Saccharomyces cerevisiae S288C: one gene and its partner. The gene in region 2 interacts genetically with the main gene of each other region. Each region holds a gene or a part of one and is shown on either strand. Other genes may lie near its edges. The genes, in order: ATC1 and DAN1.

What was found.
Region 1: mutations in DAN1 (region 2) and ATC1 together harm fitness more than expected from each alone (negative genetic interaction), as found in Saccharomyces cerevisiae (2 studies listed by BioGRID).

Annotation. Positions count from the first base shown.
Region 1 is NC_001136.10:825,690-837,039, reverse strand, and holds ATC1 (Atc1p), read left to right. Parts: upstream 1-5,526; coding exon 5,527-6,411; downstream 6,412-11,350. Other genes in the region: chaperonin-containing T-complex subunit CCT6, read right to left, coding at 1-619; SND1 (Snd1p), read left to right, coding at 1,548-4,181; UPS3 (Ups3p), read left to right, coding at 4,567-5,106; PLP1 (Plp1p), read right to left, coding at 6,763-7,455; YDR182W-A (uncharacterized protein), read right to left, coding at 7,686-7,889; putative lipid phosphatase CDC1, read right to left, coding at 7,983-9,458; SAS4 (Sas4p), read left to right, coding at 9,685-11,130; cohesin-loading factor complex subunit SCC2, read right to left, coding at 11,264-11,350. UniProt on the Saccharomyces cerevisiae protein: Involved in cation homeostasis and in the regulation of the cation stress signaling cascades. Also involved in bipolar budding.
Region 2 is NC_001142.9:703,414-714,817, forward strand, and holds DAN1 (Dan1p), read right to left. Parts: upstream 6,295-11,404; coding exon 5,398-6,294; downstream 1-5,397. Other genes in the region: YJR146W (uncharacterized protein), read left to right, coding at 472-825; HMS2 (Hms2p), read left to right, coding at 783-1,859; branched-chain-amino-acid transaminase BAT2, read left to right, coding at 2,331-3,461; YJR149W (putative nitronate monooxygenase), read left to right, coding at 3,747-4,961; DAN4 (Dan4p), read right to left, coding at 8,842-11,404. UniProt on the Saccharomyces cerevisiae protein: Component of the cell wall.

The DNA of each region.
Region 1 (11,350 bases), on a different chromosome or scaffold from region 2:
TATCTTTAGGAGACAAGTGCTGCATCTGCATGATCTCAACCATGTGTAAATCCAAATTGTCAGCCTGCGCGTCGTACACGCTTAGCACCGCATCCGTTACAATGGGCGTCAAGACCTCCGTCAAGTCAGCGTCCACCTTGGTTAGCAGCGACGACCGGGCCACTTGCAGAAGGAACTCTCTATCATTGGAAAGGTTCGTCTTACTGATCTTGAATTCGTCCAAAAATTTCATGGACTCCTTCCGCGCAATCTCAAACCCATCAGTGATGATCCGCGGATGCACGCCCTCTTGAATGAAACGGTGCGCTTGTCTAAGCAATTCACCCACAAGACACACAACCGTCGTGGTCCCATCGCCCGTGATTTCATCCTGCGCGGCAGCTGCCCTAGCAATCAGTACCGCTGTAGGCGACTGGATCTGCATCTCGGTCAGCAACACTTTACCGTCCTTGGTCAGCTTGATGTTACCAGCACCATCCACAAGCATCTTTAGCGTGCCCTTAGGGCCCAAGTTGGTCTCTAGGACGGATTGTAAGCCCTCAGCAGATGTGACGTTAACCTTCAAAGCCGCATCCCTTCTCAACGATTCAGCCTTCGGATTCAACAATTGCAATGACATGCTTCTACTCTACTTATATTATAATCTTCTGCTTCTCACTGCTTCCACACCCTTAACCTTTACCTTTTCCACACACTGCACACATACACTGTTATACATAATCCTTTCCGTCTTTCGTTCGTTTCTTACCAGAATAACAACTACTAACACATCACCGAGCGAAAATTTTGCCACCAAAGCAAAACTCCCGTAAACAGTGATCCACGGCCCGTATCCATTCTGCCGCAGAACCCACACCTCTCACTCTATCGAAAAACAGCCTACTCCCAGGGTCCCCAAAATGAAAGCTCACTGCAATGGGAAACGATAATCACAACAAGGGAATGCAATTAAAGAAAGATATACGGTACACGAAAGGGAGAAGCGACGGCGTTAACCTATTTGCAAACGACCGAGTCAGACAGCTCAGGTCCAGTCACGTTAAAGTGGGTTACTTTGAGCTGAGGTGTGCGGTTGCGGGGCGTGGGTGTGCGCGCCGTTGCCATGCTTACCGTTCTCGTTGCGCTCGTTGCTCGTATTGCCTCGTCTGTTCTTGTCTCGTAGCTTTTTTATTATTTGGGTTAATCGCGTTGTTGAACAAGAAAGTATGATAGTTGTTGAACCGGCCCCTCGTCCCGTTCTATCTTTCTACGGGTGTCGTGTCTATTATTTTATTGTTTTCCTACTAAGGTTCTTTGCTATTGTTCTTTTAATTTTTGGTTTGTAGCTGACTACACGTTTCAAACCCAATCTTGGCAGCCCGGATCTTCATCACTCAGCTTTTCCCTACTTTTTTTTTTTTTCGTTTCCTTTTTCTTCTTTTCTTTTTCTATTTAAGAGAGAAGTTGGCGAACTTGAAGTACACATACACGCTCTCCCTCGCATCCCGGAGCTCGCAATCAACCACTATTACTAATCACATCCTAAATTTTGGGAAGCCTACACTACGATGGACACTGTCGGTACGGACGCAGCAGCCGCGAGCATTAATGAGCGTCGCTTTGCCCAGTCCACTTCACCAAAAGTTAGTGTGAAGTCACAGGACTCGCTGTTTCTGATCACTTACTCCAACATGCAGCAGACAGTGGTACAAGCGTCTTTGGCGGACCGGTACCCTTCGCTAAAGAAGCTTAACATCCTACTTTACATAGATATCCCTACGATCGACTACTACAACGATGAGATGACTCATAACAAGCTTTCCAGACTGAATAAACGGTTTAAGCTGCATCGGCTTAGAAATTCGATCGCGCAAAGTTTTTCCAACACATCTACTGCGGAAGATAACGATAAGTTTTGGGAGGAGTTGAAAAGTCTGATCAGCTCTCGCAGCACACCGGAAAACAAGTTTGATCTGAATGTACTGGTGTCGTCTTCGGGGTCTTTACGTTACGTGGAGACCATAAGATTTTTGGTTGAAAAATTGTTTAATTCTTTCAAAGACTTGTATGTTCAAAAGAAACTAAACCTATGTTTCCAGATCAACGTTTCTCCCACCTCTCTCAAGTGGTTTTCTACTTTCCTGAACGCAGAACTGCTTAATTTAAAAATCATTAATTGGCAGAATATTGGTTCTTTCACTAAGACAATCCAGAACTCCAAGTCACTCCCGTTCAAAGAGTACTACACCAAGTTGAACGAGAAATTCACCGGCTCAAACCAGAGCAATGGTAGCATGCAAGACCAGACTGTCTTGGATTCCATAGTTATTGTCACGAATAGCACGGGGGTAAAAGCACTGCTGACTTTGTTGTCAGACCACCCTCTCACCAGCCTTATCTCCCAGGAATCAATAAAAGCGCTACATGAATATTCAGATGCTGTTAACGAAGATAAGGGCGACGACCAGAGCAACACAAGTTTGAAAAGAAACTCTTCGTCGTTGTTGAATTTTCAAAACTCGGTTTTAACCTCCAATAAAGACAAGTCCGTCAGAATTAGGTCGTTGTCTATCAACAGAAAATCCAACAGGGCACATATGTTCAAAACGAACGAATCCATCACAACTATCCCATCAACGTCAATCAACAATCTTATTGGTCAGGAATCCAACCTACGCAAGCAGCCTTCGGGAACTGCACTGCATTTACAATCGCATCTGCATCCACATTCCCGTTCACAATCCTATTCTAGTTCTAATATGTCCAGATCGCCTTCTCCCTTCCCCTACGGAAAGACACCATCAAACGACGAACTAGTATATGACGAGTTAAACAACCAAATCAACGAAGTGCAAGACCGTGCTAAGAATGAGGAAATTGTCCTGTACAACAATAATAATTATGACGATTATACAAAAGAACGAGGGGAACAAGAGCAGGATAGAACCTCATACGCAGATGAATATGGCTTTAATTACGATGATGAAGAAGGTGGAAATGAAGACAACTATGATGATGATGAAGACGATGATGACGATGATGACGATGACGATGAGAGTGACGATGAAGGTTTGAGCTTTTACGCTCCAAGCATTTTGTCCCGCTCTGGTTCGAGCACAGACGTGTTATCCTCCGGAATAGATTCTATGGCAAAAAATTCGAAGGAAACAAGGGGTAGGTTTAGGTCCTTGAGTTTAATGGACCCTGCTCTGCAAAAGCCGTTCAACCAGAAATTTCCAAACAGCCAACAACCCGATTCTGCAGGGGCTTCATCACCTAAAAGATCGACCTCTTCAAACCATTTTACTAACGTCTACGTGCACGATGGTGATTTTGACGGGACAGACACTATCAACAACAAAAAGAATCTATCGTCTGCAACGCTTATTAAAAGGAAATCTTTGATGAACAGAAACTTGGCTCCTTCTATTAGTAATGGATTGATACCTCCGGAATTTATTTCCCGAATATCTACGCCCTCTACAAGCGCAAGTAGTTCAAACTCCTCGTTGAATGACATGTCTACAGTATCAAACGCATTTTCCAAATTATTAAATGACACAAGTAAGAAGCAAAAATTCTTGAATTCACCAATTCCACAACATACACAACAGGCATCTCCATTACTAATGAGAAATAATTCAAACAGTAACTTGCTATTTGAGAAGAATTTGATCAACAAGTCATTTGAAGAACTGAGAAGACAACCATCAGTTAACCTTTTTAGCACCTTGATGAATGGTAACATGGAAAAGAATGGTTTGGCACTAAACTTCAAGTCCAGAACGCCTACAGATGCGTTGATGGCGAATAGCATTAAAAATAGTAACAATTCCAGTCATAGGTTACTAAATCTCGAGGAAGAAGACCAAATCATGTCTGGATCTCTCCCCAAAGAACGCGAGGACGATAACGATTCGACTAATAGCACAATAGTACCGAATCACCCAGACAATGATAACTATAATGATAATGATAACGACAATAATACTGGTATAAATTCCAATAATTTCAATCTAAATCTCTATGATGACAATGATAGTGCAGGCTTTACAGATGTAACAACTGAAGGAGTGAAATACTCAAACTCGAATTCTACAGTCACCAAACCCGTTTATAAAAAAGCCGTCACCCTGGATTTATACGGCGAAGATGATATGGATAACATGGGAGGATGGGTATTAGGAGGTAATGCCCGGTAAAATAATCACCTGAAAAAAACTAGGTTAAGCACAAGGCAAGGGAAAAAGCCAAATTACACATATACTTGATTATAAATAGATTAGTAAAACATATATTCTAAATTAAAACAGCACTTTAACCGATATTGTATTTTTTTTTTTGGGTTTACGTGATACTGCGTAAATCTTCAATTTTCAGGGCTTTGTCCGCAAGGGGCCCGTTTATTTATCAAAAAAAGTAATGAGATTTTCGAAGAAAGTTCATAAACCTATAGATCTTGTTACATTTGGCAAGAAAACAATAAGTGGGATCTGCGGTCCAAGCAACGCATTTTCTTTTCTCTAATCGACAAGTTCAAGTAAATATTTCTATTAGTCATATATCTCTCGAGCTTATATATTAATAATGAAATCATTTCAAAAATCTTATGAATTCGATTACCCATGGGAGAAAGTCACCACGGCGAACTGGATGAAATATCCAAACAAGATCTCCACACACGTTATTGCAGTCGATGTGCTCCGCCGAGAGCTCAAAGAACATGGCGATGTACTTCTTACAGAACGGCTGATAACCATACGTCAGAACACCCCTCACTGGATGTCCATTTTAGTGGGGAACACTAATTTAGCATACGTGCGAGAGGTCTCCACCGTTGATCGAAGGGACAGATCTTTAACTATGAGGAGTTGCAATATGACCTTCCCGCATATTTTGAAGTGTTACGAAACCGTACGTTATGTTCCTCATCCGAAAAATCCATCGAATGTGACTCTTTTCAAGCAGGATGCAAAGTTTCTGTCTGGTGTTCCGACCAAAACCTTTAGTGAGAAAGTAGAAAACTGGGGCGTTAAACGTTTTAGTGATAACGCGGTGAAGGGGAAAGTCGGGTTTGATAGTATTCTAGCAATGTTCAACGATATCTGGAAAAATGCTAACGAATAAAAAAAAATACATCTTTTCTCAAGCATTTTTTCTCAAGCATTTTTTCTCAAAAAAATAAGGATTTATAGCCTCTTTGCATATAACTACACTCAGAAACTCAAAAATAAGTGAATAGATTAATTTGCCAAAATAGTTTCTATAGCGTGTCTTTCTCTTTTTGCAAACTCGTGTCATCTTGATATAAATCAAATATTTTCTGTCATTTTTTTTTCTCTTTTTTTTCAGTTTCTAGAATTTTTTTTTTCCACTTTAGCGATGAGATGAAAAATTTCCAAAAAACATGCGGTACGGTATTTTCAATGAAAAATTTCAGAGGGCTAGTGCCCTATTGAAGAGCTCAATACTTGATTGAAGTTTTGACATCTTAAATTTTGTTGGTTCAAGTTACACTAAGGTTGTGATAGGGAAAACGTGAAGATAATGAACACGAATCAGTCCAATCCGAATACAGATTTAACAGATGATGCCAATATAGAACATACGTTGCATCGGCTGCTCACTCAGGCAAATAATCATTTTGATGATACAGTAAAGATTGATGGGCAGAGTTTAGATTTGGGAAAGGATCTCGAACAAGTTATGATGGATAATTTAGACTGCACTGATATTTTTGATTCCGACATCGCTTCTCAGAAACACCTAACATTGGAATCTTTATTTAACGATGAACACAACACCGATTCGAGCACACTTTTGGAAATGCAGAGAAGTGCTAATGATAGCCTAGTTGGTATTGATCTCGATAGGCATAAAAAGGGTTATACTGGCAAGGCATCATTAGATAAAAGTACAAACCAAAATAACGTACATAAACCTGATAAAGAACAAAAGAACTATAAGATAGATAAACCCACCATCAAGAAGAAAAAATCCCTTTTGAAAACCACAAATGAACCCATGTTATCCCCTGCATCCCTATCACCTTCATCTTCGTTAGCTTCATCCGACGCTAATGAATCCCACCTAAAAATAGAATCCATGATTACTGATATAACATCTAAAATAGATTCTGCAAGACAAGACATTGTATCTGCAACGAAGCCTGCTAAGTTCACAAATGAGTTTACAATAAGTCAAATTTCGGAAATGAAGGCAAGAATAATTAATACTCATAAATTGCTGCTCAATTTCAATTTTATTAAAGAAGGTTACGCGAGATCTTGTATTCAATTGAAAAAATCTATGGACTCTTTAAAGGATAGTGAAATTCACAGAGCACATTTATTGGTTGAGAATGATGACTTGAAGCAACAAATCCTAGAACTTACTCAAAAACTCAATGAAAAATCATCCAAGGAAAGTTAAATTTAGAGTTAGTTCTGCTAAGTTTATCTGCATTTATTGGTTTTTTTGTCTTTACTACAAAGATGGTCCAATTTTATATACAATATACACTACCTTTCTCAGTCATCGTTATTCGTACTCAACTTTTATTATTTTAAGGAACACAGTCGCATTTTTGAGTTTCATGTATAAACATTACTATACGCATATTTCGTATTTAACTTTCTATAAATCCCCCAAAACGTTTTATTAAATTTTCAACGGTACGCTCGAATAACCGATTTAGTTTGAACAGGAGGAACCATTTTCGCTCATGCGTATGGCTTAAAAGACCATCGAGTCATTTTTAGTAGGGAGGTAATGGTTATTTAGTTATATATCTAAATCACTATCACTTTCACTTCTATCATGATTTGTAGAAGCGAAGCGTTCCGTATTCACAGATGAATGCTTTCTTATTTCGAATGTGTCTTCTATAACACCTGAATGGGCTAAAGATTGCTCTAGCCTCCTAATATCAAACCCATTAGGGTCATTTCCCAGTTTACTAAATCCTACGTAGCGAACTTTTTCTAGGCCATTCTTGTATCCAACTACAAACGGAAGTACTTTAATATTCAGTTTATTAACCAAAAATGGACATGTTTGGACGTTTACTTTAATAAATCTCGTGGTTAGATACCTCTTTGCCAAGTTTTCCAGTTTTTCATTCATATACTGGCACTTACCGAATGTTTCTAATTCAAAATGTATGACCACCATAGTAGTCTTTGTACATATTTGGATAGCATCTGCCTCGTTATCAATGCACTGCAATCTACCGTATCCGTCATCCTCAACATTCTTCTTGACCTGTTTTAAATGATCTGATATTTGTTGTAGCCTCTCCGACCGATAAGCACTCAAAAATTCATGATCCTCGTCTAATTCTCTATCCAATTCATTAAGTAGTTCATCTAAATTTTCCTCGCCACTACTTTTGTCATCGCTATCGACAGTTGTGTGTTTATCCTTTTCAGCATTTGAAAGCACATTTGTGTAGTATCTGTCTAATTTATCTTCCATATTAATTTAATCTTCATATACGTATGAGTTGTTAAGAGAATGGAGTATTTTCGTTAATCTTTTGTACTTCATCCTACTTTCGTGTTTTTTAAACTCTAAAAATTACACTACTATGATCACTATATTGCTATGGAATAATAAAAAGCAAAAACGAAAGATTGAAAGGAAAGTCGTCCTTTTGTATCCATCTTTTAAACAAAGCTTACAAAGAAATTTGCCGTCATGACTTGCTAAATTTGATATAAAACTAAAGGAACCAACAACTTACCTAGGTGTTCTTTTTTGTCCCCGTATAGTGAAGTAATTGGTGTTACGCCCAGTCCTGCAGTTTTAGCTTGGACCACAAAACATAATGCAAATCCAGTAGAGGTTATGCAAACTGTTTGGTGAGCATAGTAATACCACACCCGGTATAATTTATATCTCTTGTTCATTGTCTGTATATAAGGTGTATTCGCATATATTAAATAGCCAGACGTTTCCCTTCAAAGCATTTTGATCCTGGAAGAGAATAGCAGTAATTCTGTCTAGACTACAGTATAAAAATAAATAAAAATGGGCATCACAGAAACAAAAAGGACAATTGCATTAACTAGAAATTGTTTGATCGAACGCGTATCATTCACAGCGTATTTACTATGTGTCAATGATTTTTTGGATTTCGATTTGGAAATACTTGTAGGTAATGGCAAATCTGAGGTGTTACCATCAGGTCGTGTAAATACTCTGTTCATTATGGTTGCTACGCGATTATTAAAAGATTTTGGGAAAAAATGCATGTATGCGATAAAGGCAGCAGAGAATAATAATCCCCATAGGTACATTCTGATTGCCTTATAGGGATCTGGCATATAGCATAGCTCTGTTTGGTAAGTTTTTGATGCATACTCTCCGCCGGCATTTACCATTGTCAAATCTGAAGGATTATATAAGGAGAGCAATTGAATAGCAGGCCTACTGATCCCCATGTTCATTGCACATGACTTTACTGTAATTTCTTGAGCATTTTTAGTTTTCCCCTGAAACGGATATGAGTGTGATATCTGACAATGGTCATGATCATCCCCGGAAAATAATATTTCTGGTTGAATTTTCGTTAAAATTTCTTGTGATATATCGTTTTCTATAACTGTCTGGTACTGGTGCCCTTTCTGAATAGGAAAAGGTTCTTTGGATTCACGTAGCTGACCGCACGTTTGCTGTTCTGGATCCCTCCATAATGGAACGTGAGTTAAAAGAATTCTAGGAAGCGGATGTGAACCCATTGCAAAATTATCCAAAAACTGTCTAGGAACCCTCGAGACATTCGGATTTGTTTTATCAGAAAGCGAAATTGTATCTAAAAGTACAAAGGTATGATTTCCAGCGTCTAATGAGGAGGAAGTTTCTCCAAAGTAACTAGAAAATCTCTGTAAACTCGATTCAACAACTGTGTCTCCAAAACCAATATCGTGATTACCTGGTAAAGACATGACCGTTCTTCTCAGTGGCTTCTTGGGGAATATTTGGTTGAATCGTGTGTACTCTTTAATCCATTGCTTATCATCCCAGTTTCTCCCTCCATCAAATAGATCACCTAGGAAAAAATTGCTATCAGGATCCAAGTAATACTGGACATATTTCCAATTTCTCCTGTGATAATGGTCAACAATCACTCTTGTAAAATAATTAACTATTTGAGGCCTCCCAGGATATGAATATTCGTCCATTATTTGTGGGTCTGCAAATAAACCCACCCTATGACTTTCAGCGCCTTCAGGCCAATCCTCCCAAGTCGACCATTGGCACTTCTTCATTGCTCTCTTCACAACCACTGATTCATAATAAGATATTAATCCTAACCATAAGATCCATACAATAGATATGTATCTCCAGTAGATTCTTAACCTCTTCTTGCTCCTGCTTTTTGATTTCTTTTTCGAACGTGATTTATAGTGGGCCTTATCGTCGCTCTTCTTGCTGTGTGTAGATAAAACGCTCTTTGACCTGTTACGATATACCATACTTCCTAGAGCTTATTGTCTAATGTATCCAACAGATTAGTAGAAGCGGTACTGTTTTCCCTTTCTTTTTGGTTATTGTTGTTTCCATAATCGTTCGTTCTACATTTTTAAAAATAAGAAAATCTAACCCGCGAGTTGATTTCAGCGATCTCAAAACAAAAAGTAGCAAGATTAAAAAGGAAAACCGAAAATTTCTACAGCATTAAAAGCATATGAGAGTTCATCAATGGGTATTTTTCAATCAATAGAAGAAGCAAATAATACTTCTGAGAGATTGCTGAGGTCTGAGATTAAAAATAGTCATGGAGAATTTGAAAAATTCGATTTTGATACAGAAGAATACGAAATTAACCCTAAAAGGAAGTTAAGATTAGTCAGCAGGATAAACCCAAATGCTGGACATCTAAGGAAATCTAAGTCCTGCTTTACTGTAGATGAGCATGTTGACGAAACGCGTTGTCAGAAACCTGTGATGAAGTCGCCGTTCATGAGTAATGTCGATGATGAGATCAAGAAAAAGAGAGAGACAATTACAAAGATGACACTAGAAATTGAACATCATGAATTGAGCCAGAATATTAGAAAACCAACTGATGATTTGCTTCCTGATAGCACGTATCAGCCTTACCACAAGAAAATGTTGAAGCAAGAAAATAGAATGATTCAATCGGACATCGTAAATGGTGAAAATGAAGCAGACAGGCTTTCATTAATTTCAGACAGACTGGGTATGTTGAATTGGGAAGTAACATTACAGAAGGTTACTAAAATAAATGACCCCACTGACGAGAATGAAATGGAGACTAAACGTTACCAAACTAAAGAGCTGATTGATTCAATGTTACATAAATTTGAATCTATGAAAAAAAAAAGCCGCAATTTAGCTAGAAGGCCAGCCTCAAGTGATTCATTGTTGAAATTGGTTAGTGGCAAAGATTGGCCCAAGATATATACTCGAATCGATCGAACTTTTATTCCAGATTACGCAAGCTCCTCTGACGAAGAAGAAGAAAAAATAACCGTTGAGGAAATAAGGGAGAGACGCCTAAAGAAGAGAGAGCAGCAATGCGGTGGTTCCATTATAGTACTGCTGAGCGATCATCAATCACAAAAGGGAATGACACGGTTTGCTATCGTAGCTGAGCCGCTCCGAAAACCGTATTTGATTAAAACCTCCACTAAAGAGAGAAATTCATGGAAAAACAAAGTTCCCACAAATCCAAAAAAATTCAAGAAAGCTCCTCGAATATCAACGCAAATTGCTGTGAAAAGAAGAAGGGAAGTCATCCCGTTAACGATGGAGGTGGAACCAGAAGTCATTCGGGATATAAGGCAAGATACACAAAAGTCTATGAAACTGAATGTTAAAGCGGAGGAAATATCTGTGACAGAGACTGTCAAATCAAAAGAAATGAATGCCTTAAGGAACAATGCTGCATCTATAAGTCCAACTCTTTCAGAGAAGGCACCTTTAGGTTCAATTTCATCTTGCACTGCATCTCAGATTTCACAAAGGTCTTCTGAGAATGTGGGTGCTATTATTAACAATATCAACCCAAACTTAGCAATAGTGCCCTCTTGTAACGAAAAGACCTTTGTAAAAACACACAATGGAATGAAAACTAACTCAGGTATTAATATTTTGCCTGTCCGCAAGAAAAAAAAGGTTTAGTTTGAACTAATATAATGCGATGGTGTAAATGAAATTCAATATTTCATAGTTGCTTCTCAAAACCTGCGTGAAAAATCAGCATGGAAAATGCAAAATGATTATTAATACTATGTATATTTTAAGTGCAATATATTTACGTATCCTTCACGTGTTTTCTAAAATATGTAAGAAGCTTGCCATTTGATGAATACTGTTCAATATTCTCCAACTGTGCGGAAAA
Region 2 (11,404 bases):
AATTACAGAATGTACGGCTGTTTAAAAATAAATAGTGGATGCATGGGTGCTTCCACGCGTCTCTGGGAAAAAAAACCAGGATATTTTAATGTTTGTTTATTTGTTTATTTCCTGCTGAACTGAATATTGAAAACATCGAAAAAATGCAGTACCCAGCTCTCCATTAGGACTTTTTACGTAATGACGAAAATGGACAAGCTGCGCAGGAAAGGACTACGAAAAGTATGCTGCCATAATGACAAGATAAGGCGCAACACACGTAATCATGACTAATGGTTGCACAGACGGTAGGCCAGGAGAAGGATTAGATCTCGTGCCGAACGACAGCAAGCTAGCTAGACTATGTTATCTGAGTGTAAACGAAAGCGCAGCAGTCTCTGCAAGAGCACGTGCGACGTGTCTGGTGTGCAAAAACCCTCTAGAGAAACATTGCTAAGGTTTACCGATGCAGGAAATCTTTAGTTCTAAAAGATGAAAGTCGGAAAAGCCAAAAAGAAACCGGAAATCTTCTCTGCGCATTGTTCTGTGGCCACGGCCTTCCTGGACCCGTCCTTCTTTTACCCGAACTTTGTCGCCCAAAAGGCATCTCATTATAATGACAAAACTGGATCTGCAAATATTTGGACATATATCTCCAGAACGGGCTCACTTCTCCTCTTCACCCAGGTGGTATATAGGAAGAGTAAGTGGACGCATCAGTCCGCGACATTTGCGGACTGTATATATTGCCAGTCAGGGCAGTCGCCAAGTGTGTCTCTTTCGTGTAGCGACGCACGTCAGACATGGATGCAACATCGAGGATGGAGCAGCCTGATGTCTTTGTAAGCAAACTCTACCACCTGCTGCAGGGGAACGCTTACTCGAACATAATACAATGGTCGACTGATGGCAGCAAGCTCGTCATTTGGAATCCGGACCAGTTCACCAAAGTCATCCTAGAGCGATTTTTTGGTATTCACACCTTTGCAGCATTCGTTAAGCAATTGAGCAAATATAACTTCCAGAAGGCGGGCCGCCCGGACTGCGTGGAGTTTTCCAACATTCATTTTCAAAAAGATAACATTAATAGCCTCTCACTGGTTAAAGCTCATCAGTCTGCCGCCACTCCCAATGTCGCCGCCGTCAATAATATGAATAAGCAGTGTACTTTTCACTGGGACCCTTTCAAAGTGAACTCCATTCTAAGCAAGGCCATCGGCAAGCCTTCCTTCGAGAAATTAGTGAAAAATGTTGACAGGCTTCAGGGCAATCTTGATGAGCTTAAGTCGACAAACGCAGATAGTCTGCGTATTATAAGGGAAATTAACGCCAGCTTACAGACAATCTCCTACCACCAGTTTCACGCCTACCAAACCGCTAACTTCCTTCAAGAAAATTTTGAAGCCATCAAAAAGGTTGTATGCCCGGACTCTTGTCTACAACACCAGCAACGCCAACCAAAGCGCCCCAAACGCTACTCGTTGCTGTTACTAATACCAAACGCATCCGAATTGTCAGAAACACCTTTGATGCGCTTCGCCGGCGTGTTCGAATTTATGAACTGCTCTTTGGATACGGCCACTCAGTGGCACCCGCAGTTGCATCCCGAGGCATACGACCTTCTTTTCGTCACCGTGTCGCCCAACATGCAACAAGAACATCTCATCTACTTCAAGAGACTGAGAAACCTACTCCCAAGCTTTCCTGTAATAGCCATTATTAACAGACCCGTCTCCCCTCAAGATACCAGCATTGCTCCCTCCAACTACTCTCGCTATTATTTCCACCATTTTTTGCAGTTGGGGTTCAGTGACATCCTAGTTAGCCCCTTCACCCCAACACAACTTATAACGCTCCTTTCCAAACATCTTCGAACGTGAAAACCTGCCTCTGAGGGTCATTCACGACCTAGCATACCACTATATACGTGTACGATTTTTTTTTTCTGTGACCGCACTACACCAAAGTTTAATGTTCCATTGGCCCCGGAACCATTCTTGCAAACGGCGTTCTTTTTCCGCTTTCGGGTGACACTTAATTTAGCTTCTTTTCCCTCTCTGACACCTCTTGTTATCTAATCTGTAGATCCGACTCTTTTTCTTTTTGGTGTCGTTCTTCTATGTCCGTTTTTCTGTCAACAAAAACGGAAATAATAGGTAGAAATTAAGAGCCGTACGTGAGTGAGAGGAGATCCGAAATGAGCTGACAGTATAACTAATATAAGCTTACAAGATATTCGACTATTTCCTGGGAAAAAATTCATTCCTTTGAGAAATCCTTAATAAAAACAGACTAACTACTAAAATTTTAGAAATTTAAGGGAAAGCATCTCCACGAGTTTTAAGAACGATATGACCTTGGCACCCCTAGACGCCTCCAAAGTTAAGATAACTACCACACAACATGCATCTAAGCCAAAACCGAACAGTGAGTTAGTGTTTGGCAAGAGCTTCACGGACCACATGTTAACTGCGGAATGGACAGCTGAAAAAGGGTGGGGTACCCCAGAGATTAAACCTTATCAAAATCTGTCTTTAGACCCTTCCGCGGTGGTTTTCCATTATGCTTTTGAGCTATTCGAAGGGATGAAGGCTTACAGAACGGTGGACAACAAAATTACAATGTTTCGTCCAGATATGAATATGAAGCGCATGAATAAGTCTGCTCAGAGAATCTGTTTGCCAACGTTCGACCCAGAAGAGTTGATTACCCTAATTGGGAAACTGATCCAGCAAGATAAGTGCTTAGTTCCTGAAGGAAAAGGTTACTCTTTATATATCAGGCCTACATTAATCGGCACTACGGCCGGTTTAGGGGTTTCCACGCCTGATAGAGCCTTGCTATATGTCATTTGCTGCCCTGTGGGTCCTTATTACAAAACTGGATTTAAGGCGGTCAGACTGGAAGCCACTGATTATGCCACAAGAGCTTGGCCAGGAGGCTGTGGTGACAAGAAACTAGGTGCAAACTACGCCCCCTGCGTCCTGCCACAATTGCAAGCTGCTTCAAGGGGTTACCAACAAAATTTATGGCTATTTGGTCCAAATAACAACATTACTGAAGTCGGCACCATGAATGCTTTTTTCGTGTTTAAAGATAGTAAAACGGGCAAGAAGGAACTAGTTACTGCTCCACTAGACGGTACCATTTTGGAAGGTGTTACTAGGGATTCCATTTTAAATCTTGCTAAAGAAAGACTCGAACCAAGTGAATGGACCATTAGTGAACGCTACTTCACTATAGGCGAAGTTACTGAGAGATCCAAGAACGGTGAACTACTTGAAGCCTTTGGTTCTGGTACTGCTGCGATTGTTTCTCCCATTAAGGAAATCGGCTGGAAAGGCGAACAAATTAATATTCCGTTGTTGCCCGGCGAACAAACCGGTCCATTGGCCAAAGAAGTTGCACAATGGATTAATGGAATCCAATATGGCGAGACTGAGCATGGCAATTGGTCAAGGGTTGTTACTGATTTGAACTGAAGTATCGCTATTGCTACGTAAAGTAATTAAAAGTTAAAAAGAATAAAACTAGAGCGTTTTTTCTACTGAGTTAAGGGGTCATGTCAGAATATAACATACCCTTTGACATTGTATATATGAATTCCTGGATTTTGCAGTGATCTGATAAAAAATGTATGTCGAAACCTGCAATTATCCTTTCGTTTTTTTTCTTGTCATCTAGTGCTGGCCTATCGGTATCAAGGACATCTTTTGCGCGGATAGAAAAGGGCCCATACATACCTTAGAAGCAACTCAAGACAATTCATGTACTTTTTAAACCAACTAATATTTCAAGACGTTTCCGTAATGTCGGTGGATAAAAGAGAAGATATGAGCAGATCTTTCCAAAAATGTTTAAACTTGAGATACCCTATCATCCAGGCCCCTATGGCGGGGGTCACGACTATTGAAATGGCCGCTAAGGCTTGTATTGCGGGCGCCATAGCTTCACTACCCCTATCCCACTTAGACTTCAGAAAGGTCAATGATATTGAAAAGCTTAAACTGATGGTTTCACAATTCAGAGATCAAGTAGCCGATGAATCTTTAGAGGGCAATCTCAACCTAAACTTTTTTTGCCATGATATCGTTGATAAACCGACCGATCTTCAAACAGCTAACTGGGCGAAGCTATACAGAAAGTCTATGAATGTGCCGATTGATATGAATGAGATTAAATTCGATAATGGTAATGTATCTTTTAAGGCATTTGAAAAAGAAAATGCTCTTCAAGATTTTTTCCAGTACCTATCAGATGGCTTTAGGCCTAAAATCATTAGTTTCCATTTTGGCCATCCGTCGAAATCTACAATAGAATATTTACAAAAAATTGGAATTCTAATTTTTGTGACTGCCACCTCTGTAAGAGAAGTTCGATTGTTAGCACGTCTCGGCATTAATGGCATAGTGTGTCAAGGCTATGAAGCGGGAGGACATAGAGGAAATTTCTTAGTAAATGACCCCAAAGATGATGAAAACTTATCAACTGTACAATTGGTGAAAAGAACAGTTGATGAACTTGCTGAAATGAAAAATAAAGGTCTTATACATGCTACTCCCTTTGTCATTGCAGCAGGTGGTATAATGGATTCCAAAGATATATCATACATGTTATCACAGCAAGCAGACGCTGTTCAAGTGGGGACTGCTTTTCTTGGTTGCAGTGAATCCAATGCATCAAAAAACTTTTCAAGCCCCTTCACTCGAGAAACAACAACTAAAATGGTTAATATAATATCAGGAAAGCCTGCAAGGACCATCTCTACTCCTTTTATCGAAAAAGTCATTGCTAATTTTCAAGGTGAGGAGCTTCCTCCATATGGCTACATGTATAGTGCTTTCAAGCAAGTAAGAAAAAAGTATCCAGAATTGGCTAACTTTATTTTAGCTGGACAAGGATTTCAGAATGTCCAATCAGGAATCACAACAGACAAGAAAATTGAAACTATGGGCGCAAGATTGAAAATTGACGGAAAATAATATAAATACATATAAAAGACCTGATACTTATTGACACAAATTTTCTGGATGACCTTTTTCTATATGATATATATACGTCGCTATTGGATCGTAGGTTACTTGGCCATTATTTGAGCGTAACCGTTCACAGGATGTGGGCTTTAAGGAATACAAAATCCAAATATGGAAAAAATTTGATATCAATTTAGGGCTTTAATATCTAAAGGTATTTATTTTTTTCACAGTTTTTTTTCTGTTAAGCTGTCTGCAATAAGGAATGCTCCTGACATGAAATTCGAAAAGGACCGGAAATAGTTGGAGCACAAGACTGCAAACTAAAAAACAAATTTCTTTGGAATTTCCTTACGCTTATAGTATATATCTTATAAATATTAAAATTAAGAGAATTCAATTATTTTACATCATTTATACAACTGTACAGGGCCGCACATGATCACTATAACAATAGAGCGGCGGCACCAGCAATAGCAGCGGCACCGAAAACACCGTTATTGAACTTGTTAGCACCGTTAGTGGTAACGTCAATAACACGAGATGCTGACGATGTGACAGAAGTAGCTGTAGATTGAGCTTTGGAGGAGACTGGCTTAGTCACAGTTGAACAGACGTTATTTGAACAACTAGTTATGGTAGTTTCAACAGTGGAAGCTTGAGTCTTTGTGACGGTGCTGTCAGTACCATTTTGGACCACTGGAGTGACTGAGATAGAAGATGTAGAAGAAACTGGAGCTGTGGTATTGGCAAAACTAGCAGAGCTTGCAACAGAGCTTGCAACAGAGCTTGCAACAGAACTTTCAGCAGAACTTGCAATGGTGCTTGCAGCAGAGCTAGATTCAGATGAAACAGTAGCTTGGGTGGAAGCAGCGTTTGAGCTGGTCTCTGCTGAACTTTCAGAGGAGCTAGAAGACTCAGTGGCGGCACTAGAAGCTTCTGAAGTGGAGGTGGAAGAAGCCTCTGTGGTAGAAGCTGGTACTGCAGTAGCAATACCTTCATTCGCAAGTGCTTCGGAAATAGCACCCATCAATCTAGTAGAGTACCATGGCACACCGGTGATCATTCTGGTCACTTCATCACCTGAAATACCAGTCAACATGGTGGTGAAATCGCCACCGGCAAAAACAGCCTTGGCAATTTCAGGTGGGTATGTTTCAGTCTTATGCAAAGCCTGGAAAGCGTAATATTCAGATAAATGGGCGCCAATATCAGAAACGTAAACAGCCAATTCAATCAAATTGACCCTTTCATCATAAGGGGATAGAGTGGTGGTCACGGATGCGGCGGTTGCACTTGCCACTAATGCTGCGGCGACAGCTAATATACTAATTCTAGACATTACTTGGGGTATATATTTAGTATGCTACACTTTTATCTGAAAAAGAAGAAATAGTACCGTGTCGACATAAAAATAGTATCATTTAGTCGTGCTATTTTATACGCAGTATTTTCAATCATTTCTATTCAATGAGTACCCAGGGACCCTTTTGCATTTCTAGCATTCTCTGTTCCTGAACGATGTTTTGTTAGAGGCCTCGTATAGATCTTGGCATTTTCAAAGGCACGCGTTGTATTGTTTTATTGCCTATCAAAGGAACGCGCAGGAAACATGAAACTTTTCAGAGGAGCGTCTACGGAGGATACATTCATCAATTTTTCCTCATAAATTAAACGATGTGTACAAAAAGGACGAATTGACCCCGTCGTTCGGCGAAACCTTATGTATTTTCCTGGCCATATGTGCTAAACGACAGATAAAATAGGAAATTCTCCCCATTTTCGACTAATAAGATAAGCGGGAGATAGCATCATATGAACTTTTGCACTCAAACGAAGAAAGCACGTGAGGATTGAAGAAAACGGATCGCCGAATCCAGCGTGAATTGAGCTCAACAATTTTTAACTATATCAATCTCTTTCACTTTAAACACTACCACTTAAATCTTTTTAAAACGCTTTGCCCAATGACCCTTTTTTTATTAAGGTTGCTGAGCTATTTTTTCTATACTATTGTCAAACTCCAAAGATATTTTGAGCTTTATTTTCTTGCAAACAAAATACCCTACTGCTTAATAAATGCAATGTATACATAGTTTTCAAGGTACATTATATTTTAAAGTTACCTCAGGCCTGTTTGCCCTTGCATTCTACAGTCCCTTTGTAAGGGTGTGAGACAAAAGGCCTCGTTAGCTACGACTGTTGAAATCGTTTGAATTCGGCTTACAATCTAACTTTGACTGCGCAATTGTTCATGAATTTATAGTGTGCTTGCGAGGGGCAACTTCATACGAAGGCTTGTAGGACCCCTAAGTGCATCCATAAACATGCTCAAAGATTGTCTTAGAAACCACAAGGAGAACGCACAGTATGAATTAAATAAGTTGCGCTCTGCTAGAATATTTTGACGATTACAAAGTCAGAGATCGAAACATTTCCGCTGTGCAACTAAGTAATTTTCCCAATCTTTGGAGAAAATCAATAATCACAAGATTAGTACTTATCCTCTTGTAGGCTTCTCTCTTTCGCTATAAATAGAGCAGAAAAATATGATACAGAAGGTCGAAAGTTTGCTTCGCTGACTGAAGCTTTCTGTCAAGAGTTGACAAAAACATACAAGATTCAGTATTGATAATAAATGGCCTGCACTTAAGACTCAACCATCCCAATAAGTTACCTAGTTGTGTTACCTAAGCTAGGAAAATACACATTGAAAGATGTTTTACAAAGTATTGTAAAGGTACAATGCATTCTAGGCCGAATGTTCATTTCGGATTGTAATATGTAGTCAACGATAACGAACCTCATGGTTATGGTTATTTCTGTTCCAAATTTGCAAAATAGATCTTCATTGTCGTTGTCGGAACGGGTGGTTTATAATTTTAGTAACCATAGTAACTGAATAAAGTGACCAAACAGTATACTTCATAGCTCCAGGCTAGGAAACAAGATACTACTGCGAAACTAGCGGAAGAAGTTACGTTAAAGATCTATTAATTCAATGTTAATTCAAATTTAATATACGTAGGGATGCGAGTTATTACATTGGAAATATAGCAAATCACTGAAATACCATCATTTTGAATACATTCGTCATCGCCGCATCAGTTATACGTTTCTGCTATACCGTATAAGAATACTTGCTTCTATTCTTAGTTATACTGAATTTTAGACATTAATAAACTACTAACGGTTGCTACTACACTACACTATTCTTCTACCAATGTCGATGAGAGCGAACTCTTCAGAAAGCAGTTTACTTGAATAAATTTTTTCAAAGGCCCTCATTTCTAATGCCTTGTGACCTAGAATTTAGCAGCGTCAACTTTATGGAGCGTTATTTCTCAATTCCATCTTTGTGCCGCGTAGTTCTATCTTACATAACTTTATTTTAAGAAGAGCTTTAGTTCATGTTCTTGGAAGAATTCCTTTTTTGACACGATTTTTAACCTAAAGGCTAAATTTTATTTAAACTAACAGTGAACAAAGTATTTAAAGCTTCATATGTGAGTTGTCGAACACGTCAATAAACGGAGGTAATAAAATGAAGGATGAGGGAAAAAAAAAACCATAATTTTAGGCTGAAGCCCATATTGTGATATTTTTAATGTTTTCTTAGAAAAATTAAAAAACTTCTCAATTAAATGTAAAATTTTACTTGTTGGCGATACCTTAGAGGATTCAAATTTAACTAGTGTTAATATACGAACTGGTAACACTAATGTTTAGATACCTGTATATCATACAAACCATTCAAAGTGTATAGGAGTATGTTCACAAACCGTAGTATTATGTGCTACATGAATCAAGTATAGATTTAAAATTTCTTTCAAGTCAATTTAAATTATTTTACAATTGTTTATATGCTTGTGAAGATTATATTGTATCACTATAGCAGTAATAAAGCGACAACAGCAACGATAGCGGTACCAAAAATGTTATCTTTATCGAAATTATAGGCACCGTTGGTATTGATACTGACAGTATAAGAAGCAGATGAATGAGCAATGGAAGTAGCCGAGGAGGCTTTTGGAATTGGTGAGATGACTTTGCTGGTAGCGGTCGCGATTGGTGCAGTTAACATGGTACAGGTTCCACCTGAGCAGTTGGTCACAGTAGTTTGAGTGATAGACAATCCGGTTCTGGTAAACATGCTAATCCCTGCATCGACAGTAGTCAGGGTGGTACAGGCACCCGCAGAGCAACTGACTTTAATCGCTTTGGGGATGGTCGACTCTGCATTGTTCGATGTAGTGGCTTTGGAGTTGAAACTACTAACCGGAGACATCAGCGTGGTGCAAATACCACCCGAACAACTAGTAATAGTAGTTTCCATAGTTAGCAACTCGGTTTTAGTAGAGGCGACATCTTCTTCATTATCTTCGCAACTAATGGTAGCGGTGGTAGTTGCTTCGCTGGTGATTGTAGTAACTGGAACAGTCAGGGTCGAGCAAACACCACCAGAGCATGTTGTTATAGTTGTTTCGACCGTGGAAGTTTCTGTAGTTGTTAATGTGTTCGCCTTAGCATTAATAGTAGTAACCGGAGACATCAGCGTGGTACAAATACCACCCGAACAACTAGTTATAGTAGTTTCCAAAGTTAGCAACTCGGTTTCAGTAGAAGTGATATCTTCTTCATTATCTTCGCAACTAATGGTAGCGGTGGTAGTGGCTTCGCTGGTGATTGTAGTAACTGGAACAGTCAGGGTCGAGCAAACACCACCAGGGCATGTTGTTATAGTTGTTTCGACCGTGGAAGTTTCTGTAGTTGTTAATGTGTTCGCCTTAGCATTAATAGTAGTAACCGGAGACATCAGCGTGGTACAAATACCACCCGAACAACTAGTTATAGTAGTTTCAACGGTAGAAACTTGAGTTTTCGTCAAAACACTATCTTCATTAGTACAACTACTCTTACAGCTCGTGATGACAATTTCATCTGTTGATAGGTTTGTAAATGTTGAGGTTGCATTACGAACATTTTCTATCGTGCTGAACAGACCGCTACTGATGGTGTTGGAACTTCTGGCATCACTGCAATTACTTCTTGAGGATACTAAGAGAGGGGAACTTGATGCAAAAGATGCGACTGACGATGTAGGTTCCATAGAAAATGAAGAGACGATCGATTGGGAAACAGTGAAAGTACTTAAAGTGAAACTTGACATATTTGATGACGAAAGATATAAGGAAGAAGTCCGCTCAGCAATGAAGCTAGTGGATGTAGACGTAATTGCAGTAGACGACTCTGGAGAGGAACTGATTTCACTGAAGGGAATATTAGGAGAAACTGAATCGGTAGAGCTAGTGACCACAGTTGAAGAAACAGCAAGTGGAGTGGAAGGCGTAGCAAAAAAGGTAGTAGATTGGGTAGAGGAGTTACCAGAGACATCAGATTTAGCAGAAACAGTGGATCTGGTAAAGAAATCAGCAGCCTTGCTCGAGGAAACAACGGCTGAAGTGAAAGTGGATGTGGCAGATAGACTTTCAGTAGAAGAAATGGATTCATCAGAAGAAGGTCCAACCAAAGAAGTGGGTTCAACTGATGAACTGATCCCGCTTGAAGTAAGTACTTCAATGGAAGAAGGAATCTCAGAAGAGGAAGTAATTACACTAGAAACTATTAGTTCACTGGAAATGGTGATTTGATTAGAGGAGATAGATTCTGCGGAAGTGGTTGCTTTACTGAAAGAGAGAGGTTCAGCAGAAGAGGTGATTTCACTGAAAGTAGACCCGAAGGAAGAAACAGGTTCTGTCGTGGTCACTTGACTAGACCTGATAGGTTCAACAGAAGAGGTGACTTCACTTACAGTAGTAGGTTCAGCGGATGAAGTGACTTGACTAGACCTGATAGGTTCAACAGAAGAGGTGAATTCACTGACAGTAGTAGGTTCAGCGGATGAAGTGACTTGACTAGACCTGGTAGGTTCAACAGAAGAGGTGAATTCACTGACAGTAGTAGGTTCAGCGGATGAAGTGACTTGACTAGACCTGGTAGGTTCAACAGAAGAGGTGAATTCACTGACAGTAGTAGGTTCAGCGGATGAAGTGACTTGACTAGACCTGGTAGGTTCAACAGAAGAGGTGAATTCACTGACAGTAGTAGGTTCAGCGGATGAAGTGACTTGACTAGACCTGGTAGGTTCAACAGAAGAGGTGAATTCACTGACAGTAGTAGGTTCAGCGGATGAAGTGACTTGACTAGACCTGGTAGGTTCAACAGAAGAGGTGACTTCACTGACAGTAGTAGGCTCAGCGGATGAAGTGACTTGGCTGGGACTACTTGAACTGATATATGTATCGCTCGTAGTAGTAGTAGTTGCAGAAGTAGTGAATGCGTTAGTTGTTGAGACACTAGAGGTTGTATGGTCAGTAGAAGCCGTAGATGTGGCAGGTGTAGTAAGACTGGCAAAAGTGGTAGAGGTTGTAGCAGTGGTAGAAATGACAGAG